2 linked regions of the Neodiprion lecontei genome follow. The protein of the gene in region 1 interacts with the protein of each later gene in a pairwise test. Links are inferred from orthologs where the notes say so. Each region holds a gene or a part of one and is shown on either strand. Other genes may lie near its edges.

What was found. The genes of interacting proteins can lie anywhere in the genome.
Region 2: the proteins of segment polarity protein dishevelled homolog DVL-3 (region 1) and tyrosine-protein kinase Abl interact in binary tests that used the Drosophila melanogaster proteins (3 or more experiments, as listed by UniProt). The link is inferred for Neodiprion lecontei from reciprocal best matches to the Drosophila melanogaster genes dsh and Abl.

What each region holds. Positions count from the first base shown.
Region 1 is NC_060262.1:8,145,003-8,152,906, forward strand, and holds the start of segment polarity protein dishevelled homolog DVL-3, read right to left. Parts: upstream 4,950-7,904; 5' UTR 4,557-4,949; coding exon 4,396-4,556; intron 3,621-4,395; coding exon 3,551-3,620; intron 3,349-3,550; coding exon 3,096-3,348; intron 3,006-3,095; coding exon 2,823-3,005; intron 2,699-2,822; coding exon 2,488-2,698; intron 1,753-2,487; coding exon 1,624-1,752; intron 1,536-1,623; coding exon 1,321-1,535; intron 662-1,320; coding exon 152-661; intron 1-151. Other genes in the region: peroxisomal targeting signal 1 receptor, read left to right, coding at 7,319-7,666.
Region 2 is NC_060261.1:5,820,116-5,827,683, forward strand, and holds the start of tyrosine-protein kinase Abl, read left to right. Parts: upstream 1-3,379; 5' UTR 3,380-3,973; coding exon 3,974-4,100; intron 4,101-5,436; coding exon 5,437-5,590; intron 5,591-5,839; coding exon 5,840-5,949; intron 5,950-6,137; coding exon 6,138-6,436; intron 6,437-6,520; coding exon 6,521-6,662; intron 6,663-6,804; coding exon 6,805-6,935; intron 6,936-7,028; coding exon 7,029-7,291; intron 7,292-7,383; coding exon 7,384-7,555; intron 7,556-7,568. Other genes in the region: BTB/POZ domain-containing protein 10, read right to left, coding at 1,131-1,256, 2,172-2,290. UniProt on the Drosophila melanogaster protein: Arm and Abl proteins function cooperatively at adherens junctions in both the CNS and epidermis; critical for embryonic epithelial morphogenesis regulating cell shape changes and cell migration.

The sequences.
Region 1 (7,904 bases):
AAGCGAACGGATTTTCAAATTAACTGACAAGAAAATAGAATTCGATTCCTCAACTATGATTGTTTTTCCAGAAGAAGATCAGACATGAAATACCATGCATTGTAACTTGTATGGCTGTAAAATGTCACATTATAGTCTTGAGTAAAATTACCTGATCCACTATGTACACTCTCCTCGCGGTGATATCCGTAAACTGTAGGCTCATTTGTAAAGTTAAACGGCATAGGACTGTATCCAGTTGCCGAGTGGGGGGCGTAAGTTCCAGAATATGGCATATCCCATGCAGATGGCGGCGGCAGGGGTCCGACCGTATCGCAATCCAATTTCATACTACTCATCGCAGAGCACAAATCACCAAAAATATAATAGCACTGTTCTGAAAATGTTATTTTGTTTACTGTATGTCTGATGAAGCCTGCTTTGAGCATTAGCGAGGCATATTTCCGAGCATCGCGTCGGTCTATAAATCCTTCGACGTGCGAATTCAACCAGTCAACAACATCTGCGCCAATAAATGCATTCGGAATAGTTATTTTCAGCCACATACGGTCGCGTATTTCAAGTCCAGAATCTGGCCTTGCCATTGCACGGACAATTGTAGGCATGTCCGTATTCATCGTAAGATGAAGCTCCTCAATCGGACCTGTGGACACAGTTGTCTCTACTCAGCGAATGAGCGGACGAACGGAATAAGAATGTGGATGAATGAAAATGATAATAGAAAAAAATTGAATGTATACAAATAAAATTTTTTCTCTTCTGTTAAAACTGGGTTTATTAAATTTTGAAACAAAACGATATTTCGAACATTTCTTCAAATCAGAACAATTAGACAATAAATTGATCTTTCGTTTTTTTTTTGTAAATTTTTTCTAAAATCAACGTTTTTCTTTTCCTTTTTCATTTTGCAAACATGCAAAAAATAATTTGTGGCTAATATAAAGATTCTTGTTGATTTTGAATGATGGATGATAAAAGTGACAATAAAAATAATAAATCTTTGGTTATTGGGGATAGAAATGAAATGAAAATATTGACAGGTATCACAAGTAATAATATAGAGTATATTAGTCATATGTAAGACGTGAATACAGACACACATAGATGTATTCAAAAGATTTTGTTGCAACTACGCATAATATTTTTTAGATATTCTTCGTGAAACTAATACAATTATAAATGCTAAATGATTGTTTTATTTATACATCAGTATAAAAAGAACAAAGCAAAGGAAATTTTCTGATAAGATATTACATCCATGACAAGCTGGCAGATCCATTCAAATACACCATGAGTAGATTTTTGTTATTTTTAACTTACGTTCGGTATCTGGAATTGTGCTGGCAAGACTACTAGAGGTTGAGGTAAGAGTTGTGGCACTAGGAGGTCGAGGTGGAAAACCTTCACCTCTGATAGCAGCTGTGTGTGCAACCCATGCTCCCGGATCTATGGGACGCACTGGTTCCGTTCGTGGAATCGTGAAGTACCCTTTGGGATTTGGATCCCAACATTTTGCTACCACGAGTTTTATTGGCCTGAAGCGAAAATTGTGCACTTAGAAATTGAGGCGGCTCTCGCAGATACTTGGGTTATTACTAAGATGCTATTTGTTTTTGTACAAACCCAGGTTTTTGAACCACTTCGCGTAACACCCTGACAGCCTCGTCATTGGACATGTTTTCAAAATTGATATCGTTCACTTGAAGTATCATGTCTCCCGGTTCTATTCGGCCATCCAAAGCTACAGCTCCTCTATATTGCGATAAGAAAATAACAAAATAGTTACCTATTCAAGTTTACTCAATAGAGTAAAAATTTATAGTTTGTTTTTTCAACATGGTGGCCTTTGAAAATAGTAAAAAAAATTTTCCTACCAAATAAATATTTTTCCCTAACTGAAATTCAAACCAATACTTCCAATTTGAGCATCTAATAAATAGATCTCTGAAATAATCGGTATTTGAAAAAACGTTGATGGTGCACTCAGTGGTCGTGGAAAGGAGCATTTAAACAACAAATATCTATCGCATTTTGTTTTTCTCTAGAGAAGTTTTATTCCTTGTCTTTCCATACCGCTAAAAAACCTGATCAAAAAAATTCCGACTTTTCCCAGCCTTCCAGGTTGCCCCCTGACCAGTAGCCACCATGATCAAACTTTGGATGCTCTGTACAAAAATAAATATTACAGAGTCCTTTCGGTACCGCGTATTTCGTGAAAACGAAACCTTAGGCAGAATTTGACGTGTCGTTTTTCATTAAGTTATTCGTTTGTAAAAATTACTTGAAAATAAACTGTATTATAAAATTGAGTCGTTGAACATGTAAAGATGCTACTCTAAACGTGATAACGTGTAAATAATCTACAGATGTAGGAAAAAAGCAAAACCACGTGTTGATCCCAGTGATATGTGATAAAGATGGATTTCAATAAAAATGGCAGACACTGAAGTAACTCGTGAATGTGTGGTAACAAATATTTATATTTACCCCTTCATAATGGAGCCGACATAGATGCCGCCGTCACCTCCTTTGTTACTTTGGCCAACGATACTAATGCCGAGAAAATTGACAGTGTCCATATTGAGTGATACGGTTATAATGTTCAGAGACATGGTGCTGTCAGTGATGCTGCTGAACGATGACGTTCTTGACATTGGTGGTAATCTGTGACGACGTTTTCGCTGCGTCCTGCGACGGTCTATAAGTGAAATGAATATTGCATCAATGATTTTCGAAGCCAGTTGTGTTTACAACGAATCTTATATTGAAAAGAAATCTCGATACAGCTCAGCTCTAAACAACAAAATACACAAACATCATACCTAAGGTTGCTCTATCTATGGCACTGCTTGTGTTCGTGTGTCGCCCAGTCGTAGACGTTATTCGGCTGCTCGCATCGTCATCAGATTCCAGGAAAGTAGTTGTCTCTAAGTCGGAGCTTAAAATCGATGCGGTTTCATATCCATGTCCGGAACGATGCTTGGAATGGCCGTTTATGCGTAACCCTGTATCATATCATAAAATAACAGTAAAGTCGTAGATAATTACAATCAATCCTATGCTATTGGAATCGACAAGCAAAGGAACCACATTACCATTATATTTGTTATGTCTCTCATATTTGTCCGAATGATGCCGCGAACTTTTGTGCAGATGATGGCCTTGCCTGCTGCTTATAATACTCTCAGTTTCTGTCAATGTGTCATCGTGTGAGAGCAGTGGAGGTGCTCGGTTCATGTGTCCTGGAGTAACATGGTCAGGGCGATCATGTTTTGCCTCACTGTTTGCTACGGAATCTGTGCACTGCGATGCTCCATCTGATACGTTGCTGCCTTCAGCAGAAACCAGCTGTTGACAATATTCAAAAAATGATCATCAGTGATTTTAACTACATCAATTATGCACACTTACTAATATTTTACTATCAAGAAGTTTTATATAATTTCAAAACATCATCATTATGCTTCTATGAATTGTCCATTTGTTATTTACTGTGGCAATGTGCAGCGAATGAAATCAACTAATTAGGCTTACGGGTATGAGTGCTTACCCAAGACACAACCCTTCCGTTGAAACATGGTAAATGTGCGTCATCGTCAACTATTTCTTCTTTGACAACGCTGTGAAAACATATTATTTATAGGTAAAAGTTCAAGAGGTTAATGCAAGACGAATCAGTACAGACGCAAGGCAGATATTTCCATTGGTATTTCTAAGATAGAACAACTATTGGGACAAGAGCGAATTAGTCAAAGTATCGTACAAAGAAGTGTTTCTTGTATATTTCAAAATGGAAGCAAGATATCTAAAAGCGCAATAAACACGTTTTAAAACTCAAGTCCAATAGTGAAAAACATGTTTTTTTTTAAAAACAAGAATTCTGTAATGTTCGATAAATGAAAGAATTGCGTATATGTGAACTGTCTACGCGAAAGCACGGAAAAAAACAAAGAAAACAGGAAAAAAAATGAATGAAGAAAAAGCTTCGTGTTGACAAGTAGTGTTAGAAATGAATCGTTTTATACATCAGATTCTATTTCGCGTTTTGAGGTAAGAAGAGCAGAATTTGTAAATACTCGAGTAAAGTTTGTCGATTATTTCTATCCGACGGACAAGTGAAATAGTGTTTGGCGATCCTGAGAGACAGCGGAAAGTGACGGATGGTGGCGGAGCGACAGGGACGACGAATAGAGGAAGGTGACTGGCGAGAGGGGCAGAGTGTGGGTTCGCACCCTGAAAGTCGGGGTATCCTGGTTCCCGAGGGATGTTGGGGATGAAATATGGAGTAGCGTAGAGGCTTTGGTGAGAGAAAGGGCAAGAGCGAAAGGAAACAAGCGCAGGGCGAGTGATCCGCTGCTGGATGATAAGGAGAGCGTAGGGTGGTGCAAAACTTACCCGAAATCGTCGTCCATCGATTTGAAGAAATACTTGTAGCTCGGACGATTCAAGACATTCTTGAAGTCGGCTAGAGTCACTCTCTCCGGTGATATTGTTAGCTTAACTAGGTACGGTGTCTCCTCGTCGTCAATGTGGTATATTATTTTTGTCTCCTCCATCGCTGGGAGATTGTTAAACGGAGAACATTCACGGACGTTGATTACTCTCCGTGCACTTCTTCTCTTAAGCCAACATGGCGCTGTCGACACTCGTTGGGGTTCCAGATTATTATCTCAACGCGCAGCTACCTCGCGCAGCAGACGGTCATTGCGCACCCTACTCTTCCCAATAATGTTAAATCTTATCCGGTCGCGCACACGGCTGCGACGGGGGCGAACAATCTCACCGAAATCGTAATAATCAACAGAAAAAGCATCGGGAGGATCGCGGTGTCTCCATTCCTCCTTAATCGAATTCTCTCATTAGCTGCTTCGAATACACTCGCATCGTGTGGTTCGTGCGAAAAATGGATTGTGAGAACATATCGTATGGTTAGAATGTGAAAAATTTCGAACGCTTTGACACGCATCAGAGGCATGTAAAACTTGCTTTTGACCTAGGGCTTTCAAACTTCGCCTCGTGGTTTCCTGAGAATCTCTCGGTAATAAAAAAGCGTGGATTTTATGGGCATGGGCCACAAACACGATATAGAATATACTGCTAGACTTAGCAAGTTAAATTGCCAACTTCATGGCAGCGCTAGGTCGATTATCATCGAGATTTCGAATGTTTAGTTCAATTCAGTTGTGGCCTTAGAGCACATACTACGGGAGGTGGCTGCCCAACCTGTCACCTTGCGAAAACTGCAGCCGATGTGATGAGAGAGAAAGAGAGAGAGAGAGAGAGAGAGAGAGAGAGAGAGAGAGAAGTATTAGGGGCACTCTGTCTCTCGCATTCAATTAGATGATTATTTAAGACAGATTATACTCGACATATACCTTTCTCTCTCACTCCTCCGCTACCTTTCTGTATACGCGAAGCTACCTCGAGTATATGGCGCGAAGAGGTAAGAAGTAGCTATCTCACGTGGGTTATCAACTGAAAAAGTGTCCACCATAAAGCGACAAATAGTGGCTCAACAAGTCACCAGAATGATTCTAATAAGCAATAAGGCTTCAATCTGATTCGTGCTTTCTGTTGAATGTGGAACTTTTCCTACAACGCCATCTTAATTTCACCCTATTTCATGGACACTTTCTATACACAAAGATAGTCCTCCTTACTTCTATATGCTTTAGGGTTGTGGCGTAAACTAGCGATATCCGAAGTACGCCAACCAAATGGGCAAATTGCATGGTAGTAAAATAGGCTCAGAGATTATTTGAATTTGTTCTGGGGTCGCATTCCTATACCAGTTTATTTAAAGAGTGATTTAAAGTAGCACTGTAAGAAAGCTGGCGTAATATGTTATAACAGTAAAGTTATAACTCAAAATCCTTGTCGCAACTTGTGGTAATTTCCAGAAATTTCTATGACTTATCTATCTAATAGGAAAGGAATGTTGTTTTACATTGCTCAGGGGCTAGCCTTCTTCATTACTACACGGTATTACTACTCAATGCTTGGGTCAGGCTTTTGGGTCCTCAGATCTGTATAGGTTTTGCGCTCTCCAGAAATTTTTAATACACGCGCTGTATTCTGGTGACTGAGTGACGTCTGATCGAACTTGCTCAATAACTTAAATAAAATTCCCTTTGCCTGGGCACCTCCTTGCTGCGCATAAGCGGAAGTACGTCATGTGCCAAGTAGTCTCGAAAATCGCCGAGTATTACCAACCACACCATGGAGACTTATACAAGGAGCACGAACTTGATGTATACAAATTGCTTCCCAAAATGAGAGGTCACTAGTGTTCAATAAGTACTGAAACTAAGTTTGGGGGGAGGCATAAGGCGGCAGTGAAAACTTTCTACGAATCCCATTGCAAGATCATCGATTAGTCGATCTTGGGCATCCCTGCAACCAATGACACTTCGCTGCTAAAGGAACACTAGCGACGCTAGCGGTACAAAAAATTAACGTAATATGTATGATTACTGTGACAAGTTTTGTCAATTCAAGTATTTAACTTCGTGCTCCTTGTATAGTCTTCATGAACCACACTGTCATTTTGGCAGGGATTCGAGCCGTCATCGGAGAGTCGGTAATCATTAGAATATATTCCCTGGATATCCTCGTTGGCTCTGATATGACGCAGTGATATCTATTACACGGTTTGATTTCACGAAAACAGGGTCGAGGCACAATCAGGGGCCCCCTCGATCGGTACTCGACGGACGTGCGGTGGAAGCGAGTGTTTTCGAACGATGTAGACAAACCACAAATAACACAATTGGCACTTGCTGCATGGATGGGAAACTCTTGCTGCCTGAGATAACCTCCGTCTTTTGTTATTGCAGCTATCGGAGATAATTCAGCCTTCGTTCTAAGTCGAGTATATTTCGTAAGTCCGTTAGAATATAGTGTCTCTTTATTCTCTCCTTGCACTTTTTCTGAGCTTTGACTTCGTATATCCTCACCTTGCTTTATTGTATTACTTTTTCATTTTTGCTCATCGTGTAAACAACGTGACACTAGGAAAGGCTGTACACACTTTCTTTTCCTTAGATCCATTAATTAACTTCACCTAATCCTGTAGTTTTCAGGTTTCATTACATTTTTTTTTTATTTATCAAGCAGTAGAAACTTGACTTGACTTTCAATTCATTCAAAAAGACAACATGAATATAGAGTTATCACAACTATTTTGGCAAGGTCATTATTTTTTTTTTCTTGCTTCACTTTTTGTACACTTGTTTTACATAATTGAATACGAGTTGCAGATAGCGTATCAGTTAATCAAACATGTCAAAACATCTTTGCGTTCTTTTAGAATCCAGTAATGGCACTGCGCGATTTGGTCGAGGGAGACTGCGGAGGGCCGAGTTCGGTTGCTCGTCTCGCCTCGCATTATGTTCAGGACCATGGATTTGTCGAGGAAGGCATTGGCCGGCCATTTATGCCATCCACTTCTTTCGAGGCGTCTGATTCTGACCACTTGGTTAAGCAGTTTTTAGAGGAAACAGTCACTCATCCTCAAACATTTAGAATGGACAGTTTACTGCAGGAAATGCGACAGATTGATCACAATATTCATGCGCCTGTTCCTGCCCCTGGTGTGATTAAGGAATTAACTGGCCAAGACACAGCGTGGGCTAACCAGTATCTCGAATCTGGTCGTCATTTTGATGTAATTACGTAATATTCAAAACTGTTTGATAGTAGCGTTTGTTTCACTTTTTATTTCAAATACTTTGAAAATTTACAGATGGTCAAAAAACAATGGTATTGCTCCTAACATAAAATGAATCATTTTTAGAGATTTCTTAAATTGCTAGAATGCATCAAATTATTTTAAGTACGTCAAATCCAAACAGGATTCCGTATATTTTGCATAAATCAAAAATGGAAAACTGAAATGATAAACT
Region 2 (7,568 bases), on another chromosome or scaffold:
GAACAACTTATAATCAAGATAATGTCACAACATAACGTGACAACAACGAATGACAACACCTTTGAAATATCGAAAATAAGTACTATTATACGATTCTCAACGACCATTTCATCAAGCTAGTACATTTGATTAATCGTCGGAAGTTCCGCTTTTCCTAAACGCACTACCTAAACCCAGCATAGAGTAAAGTGAATGACAAGGAAAACGAACTGATTCTAACTCTTAGGGTTTTATATCGGAAATTATGGAGAAATGGATGATAATGGAATAGAAAAATAGTAATGAAATATTATTCAGACCACCTACAGCGCATGAAGCTAATTTTCGAATGTATTTTTGGTTGATTTTATCGGGTGGAAAAGTAATAAAATTCGTGTCGATACCAAGAATCAGAGACAAGCCACAAGAAGTTTCGTACCTGAAATTGTAATGTTGTATAAAATTAAACTTACATTTATACCGTTTGATAATGGTTGATAAAAACAACCATCCACTGATGTTTTCTACATTTTACCCAGATTCACGTAGTCATTTTCTGATTCGTTGCAGAATATTTCTACCAAATTTCAAGAGGGCTTTGTTAAATCATTTGACCTACTGTACCATTTGATGACCATTTGTCCTTTCTGGCTGTGCCAAGAATAAATTTTGCTACTCGTTATAACGTCAAACGATACTCAGTAAATATTCGTTTGTACACCCATTTAAACAAGTCATCAATCCTCTATTTTAATCTGATCTTGCTAATATACTTCAGAAAACAATCAAATATTAAATTATTTTCTACAGCTAATAGCGTGCTTAATGTTATTCACTTGCTTGTTTCTACCATAGACACATTATTCTTGTTCAGAAAAAGATTTATTATAGTAGATAATTTATATTCATTCTGAACAAATAACGTACGAACATGCAGAGAATTCTAAAGCTACAATTAAACTACTATCTTCTATGTAATAATAACATCAATACTCAACGACGTGTACAATATTTTTTATTTACTTTGAACATTCTCTTTACGACCTCACATCATATTAAGAGAACAATTTATAGCTTAGGAAATTTTGATACGTTTACTACGTCGTATCATTATTCAGACCGTTTATCTTTAGTATCAGAATCCAACCTACCCAAATCTGTTCTTGTATACGCGGTGGCGACCGCGGCTATCCGTTTCCTTGTAGTCTGTCTCTGTATCGCTGCTACTATCTTGCACATAACTTAAACGATCTCCAGGATTTGACATGTCAGGCCAGCTAGTAGAATGATGAAAGAAAAAAACCAGAAAAATATTCATTAATCACTGACTGTAAAATACTTTAAAGTTTTACGACAATGAGCTACATGACTAGGTGATCTGAATGAAGACGGCAAATCTGAATTTGCATGATTTCCGAGCGGGATGAAAAATTTACAGTATAGAAAAATCTTACAGTGAAATTGATGTTTTATCCATTGAGAAAGAGATATGAAGAAACAGGATTCCAAGGTGACCTTGTCAACTTAGCAATGAAATAACAAGTAAACTACTCCGCGTTTATTTAGTTGCCTTGAACACTTTGTAAAAATATTCTTCTTTTAGAAATTTCAATGTTTGATGAACAATTATAAACGATGCATGAAAAGTTTGGACAACGTTATGCTTTCAAGTCAAACTTGACTGCGGTAATAATAAGAGAATACAGAAGCTGTGGCGTGTCTCGAGTCTCAAAATAAATTGAAGTAAGTTCATTTGCCAAAAGTAATCACGTATCATCGTACTTGCATACGTATATTCAAGACTTTATATTAATAGATCACAGGATCATCACAAAGGTAATGAAATGTTATACAACACTTCACTCGACAACAGAGAAGCATGCCTTGCTTGTACGACGCAGTCGTATTATTGATAAGTGAGATGACGAATCGTACGAGTAACAACCTATAATAACAGTAAAACGTGCCACTCCCTATTTTTTATCTTTCTTTCTTCGTAATCCTAATTTCTTTTATTCACAACGGTTGGAAATCTCGTGGGGAGAAATAAGGAAAATATGTTGACAAGAACATAGATCCAACGATTTTTGTTGGAATCCCTTGAATAGAGTACAGCTAGCATTGTTGGGACTATGAAGTTTAGTTACTGAGAAATACTAGAGGTCTGGTTGTTGTGTGTATAATGTACTTACGAATGATAAAATGGTAAATACCACTCTATTTTCTCCAATAGCCACTTTAATGAGGAGCAAATTTGAACGCTGCAAAAGTAAAACCTAACCTGTCTAGTTTTTTTTACAGTAAATCGCATTCCAAACCAACGGTTAATACCCTTAAAGGTTGTCTGATATTTCTCAATTACCTGATAGACTAGGCCATTTGTTATGGTTTTTTCTGCAATAACTTTATTCTTGTCTGTTCTACGGATCCCGAAACTTCGGCAGACAAAGGTACATATGTTCGGAAGGAGATGCAGAAACAATTACTAGCCGTGACTAAGTTAGTGTTTTTTTTTTTTTTTGGTTTTTCTTTCTTTTATTATACTTTTCTCATTACGAACAGAACGCACAGGTAGAATGATAATTAATATCAAATTGACAATATTTTTTCTTTTTTTGTTTTTCCTAACTCCGTCTGTCACTCCTAATAAATAAACTGTATTCTCGTGTCATATGAATCACTTAAATCGAACTTACGGCACTCTTTTGGCCCGTATTGACGTGCCAATGATTATTTTAACGACAGTCTACTGGCTCAAAAAGACAACATGGTATTAACATTTGATTTGGAACTGTCAAAGAACTCCCCGTTAGCAACTAAGGACTATTTCACGGTCTATACCGGACGGGGTTCAATGGTTGGTCAGGAGAAATCCCTTTGGCTGAAACTTGGAGCATATACTACTGGAGGGAGCTACCTATTCCATCGACCTCGCGATAGTTGCAGCCCGAGTAATGAGAGAGACAGGTTATAACCAACATACACCTCTCTCTCTCACTCCTTTGCTGCACTTTCTGTGTACGCTAACCAGTAGTATGACATACTCTAAGGGCTGAAAGGACTTAAATCAGACAGGCGCGCAGACGCGGGGAATTCTCGAAGCTGGGCAAAGATACCGATGTAGTTATGTAGTGTACTCTTAGCATTTTCTGAATTAGAAGGAATAAATTCTAGGTATGTAACATACATAGATGCGTACATACGTCGTCGATTTATTTCGACGGTAAACCGTGATTGGAGTAATAACAATTCTTCGGAGTGTAAAATCGATTACGATTTCGGTCATTAAACCCTCAACGCATCAATCGATAGCGTTAAAATTTGTCGACTCCTCATTGGTCGAACTTGGTACGTCGACCGGCTCGCTTTTGGCTCCTCAGTCGCTTTGTCGCCCCATCTGGAGAGGGTCGAATGCTCGGATGAAATAAAAAACTGGCGACTGGGATGGCAGTCTTTTCTCGTACTACTACTGCACATCGTATCGTGATTATATCTGTATTAAAATGAAAGTAATTTTTATTGTTGCCAGTAATGCGAGATTTGCTGTTCAATATTTTGTCAGCGTGTTTGATCCCGTGTAGAGAATCGATACCGCTTATCGTATATGCAAAGTCGACTGCTTCAACCCTGGTTTTGATTAATCCGAGTTCTATCTCATTCATAACAACATATCGAAGCAGTTGCACATTTTACTCCCTGGCTGCACCACCTCCACTTCGTCACCGTGCTGCCCCGCATTAATGCACTGACAAACTAAATAATCGACGTCAAAGCTGTCAAACATGGCGAACGGTCTGTGATATCTAATTGACATGTAAAAATGTGAGCGAGCACGGGGAGGAAGCAGTTCGCGGTTCAGTTCTTGTTTAAACTATTCACAAACTCCCGTATAATGTAAATGTATCAAGTGCTCCTGGAGGTTGATGCGCGAAGCAGTTGACCTCGGCGTACTTTCAGCCGGGGCAGAATATAAGGGTATGTTAAACGAGGAACTATGGGTGCTCAACAGACTAAGGATAGAGTGATTCCCACCGGGTCTGCCGTACGACAAACTCGGAAACAGCCCAGAAACCCGAAGGAATCCAGGCTCATTGGATCGAACATTTTTACGGAACACAGCGGTAAGCTGATCTCCATTTTCATTGTAAGACTCTACCCCTCCCTTTTTCCTGTTTTAACAGTTTCATTTTTCTTCTCATTTCATTCAATCGCACTTCCTACACGCACTCATTGTTACTCTTTCCTTCTTTTTTCCTTACCTTTTCCGTTTTCATTGACAACCTTCATCTCATCACAACGTTATGTACTAATATCACACATTGCATAAGTCCAATTTCGAATACAATTATTTTATCCATTTGTTTGCCAAATGAAACATGGAATAGAGACTCGCAATGAAGTTCCTCGCAGATAAAATCACATCGATACAGAATGAATTCATCTCTGATTTACTGCTATTATTTCATTATAGTCAATTCAGAGCCAATGTAATTGTACAAATTTCGATATTATCTTCCATTCCTCGACACAGTGTGTTAATTTATGTCCACCTTCGAATTTCCTTATTCGGGTTTATTTACACAGAATTAAATTTTTCAATCGAACTTCTATACTTATAAGAATTTTATATTAATGGAATCGATTACTTGGAAAAAAAAATGTACTCATTTGTTACAATGGAATTTAGTTTGTCGTACACAGCTATATTTAATACAACATGAAGCAAAACAAACGAGAAACGGCGTGAATCGTGTTATATGACTTCCTTTTGCAGTTATTTTTAACTCTGTGTTCGATATTTCTTTATCAAAGTTTTTTGATTCTGATTAATAAAATTTGCAATGCAACGATTATAAATAGAATATTCTTTATTATCAGTGAACAGTAGCTGTTCATTTCCTGCAACTAGTTCTAATGTATGTGGTCCGAATAATCAGTAATGAATTCTTTAATTGCATTTGTCCGTGTCGCAGATCATTTCTTTTAAAGTTGAATTTATCGGAACAAAATTACAGTAGATTTTGCCCTTAATTCTGAGCTGCACAAATTTTTTGAGAAGCAGTATTTAATTCTTATTCAGGAACAAATTGTGCCGAACTATAATATGTCCTTGTTAGAATGATCAGTTTATTATAAGACTGTTGGAAAACAAACAAAATCGAACAAAGTTCAGATCTTTTCAAACCATTGGAAAGTTAGAGAAACGGGAATATTCACAAATTACAAACTTGCAATATAGCATCAATATCCTTTACAAAATGCATTTTCTTTGTTTTATAACTGAAAATATGTAATTAATGATATCATTCATTTATCGTTTGAGTCTATGTATACTTGCATTGAAAAAAAGGCGGTTAAATTCATTTGACTTCTGTTATTCAATTACTCATACCGATATTCTAGATCTAACGTTGCTTGTCTTGAGGCAAGATGTGACTGATGATCATACATTTTCAGAGGCATTACTACAGAGTAGACCTCTACCTCATATACCAGCCTTACCTGAAGGAGATCCACCTAGCAGTTCAAGTTCTCAATCACTTTCCCAACAGTCCAGCCTGCAGCAGCATAGTAGCGTCACTACTACAGGACTTCTGGAAGCTGCTAATCGGTAAAATATATTGCAAATTATAATTTCATTATATTGTTCCCAATGCAATAGAACATAATATGAGGAAATATTATATTAACCAAAATTTGGATATTTCAATTCATGGGCTTAATTTCATTTGAATAGAACATATTTTCAAATAATTTTCAAATTTAAAACAATCATCACCCAGCCCTAAAAAATGACGAGTTGCCATATGTGCTTCGATGAACATAATATGAGAAACTGTTTACTTACCCTTGATTGTAGATGGACAAGCAAAGAAAATCTTCTGGCTCAAGAAGAAGATGATCCGCAATTATTTGTAGCGTTATATGACTTCCAAGCTGGTGGTGAAAATCAACTTAGCCTTAAAAAAGGTAATTTCTGGGATTTTTTTCCATTCCATCTACAGTATCAATTATTTCTTCACTTGGGTACTATAATCTCGTCACTGCATACATTATACTCTTGACTTGAGGAGATTTAATTTAATTTCAAATTGTAGTTTCAAAATGAAAAAAAAAAAATGTATTCTGAAGTTACTATTGGAAATATATTTATATAGGGGAACAAGTTCGTATATCAAGTTACAACAAGAGTGGAGAATGGTGCGAAGCCCACTCCAGTACAGGCCAAGTTGGCTGGGTTCCTTCAAATTACGTAACCCCCGTGAATTCGCTGGAAAAACATTCGTGGTACCATGGGCGAATATCAAGAAATGCTGCAGAGTATCTGCTCAGTTCGGGTATAAACGGAAGTTTCTTAGTTAGAGAATCAGAGAGCAGTCCTGGGCAACGAAGTATTTCATTACGATATGAAGGGCGCGTTTATCATTACAGAATAAATGAAGACAGTGAAGGAAAGGTCGGTAATGACTCTAGTATAATAACATATCTCGTAGACATCATCTTATGGTAAATTCAAATTTCAAACAAACTACTGTTCTAGATGTTTGTTACAACGGAGAGTAAATTCAATACGTTAGCTGAGTTAGTTCATCATCATTCCATGCTGGCCGATGGTCTGATTACTCAGCTACTTTATCCAGCCCCCAAGCGCAACAAACCTACCGTTTTCCCACTAAGTCCAGGTAAGATACGAAGGAACGGGTTAAAGTATCTTCAATTATTACTAACAAAGTTATCCAAGTCATTGGTTATGTGTGAGCGTAATCTATAAACATTTGGATTCGTACTATGACAAACTCTAATTGCTATTTGTAAAAATTTTAGAACCAGACGAGTGGGAAATTAATCGGACAGACATAGTAATGAAGCATAAATTAGGCGGGGGCCAATATGGCGATGTATACGAGGCATTATGGAAAAGATATAACATGACAGTCGCAGTGAAAACGCTGAAGGTGAGATGCAAAGTGCTTTATCACTGCGTTGTTACTTTTAGTAAAATTTTGTAATATTTCCATAACGTAAAACACACTTTTGCCATTCTCCAGGAGGACACAATGGCATTGAAAGACTTTTTGGAAGAAGCGGCGATAATGAAAGAGATGAAACATCGAAACTTGGTACAGTTGATAGGCGTCTGTACGCGAGAGCCCCCATTTTATATAATTACTGAATTTATGAGCAAGGGAAACCTTCTCGACTATTTACGAAACGAGAGTAAACACCAAATCAATGCTGTTGCCCTAATGCACATGGCTACACAGATAGCCAGCGGTATGAGCTACTTGGAAAGTAGGAACTTCATTCACAGGTAAAAAACCTCATGGCCTTACCCTCAATACAATCTTCAAGCCCTTAATAAATCTTAGCATTTTATACACATGGTTGAATTTGGTCAACTAGGGATTTAGCTGCACGTAACTGCTTAGTTGGAGAAAATCATCTAGTGAAAGTTGCAGACTTCGGTTTAGCTCGACTTATGAGAGACGACACTTATACAGCCCATGCAGGTGCGAAATTCCCGATTAAATGGACTGCTCCAGAAGGATTAGCTTACAACAAATTTTCAACAAAAGTACGTAATTATT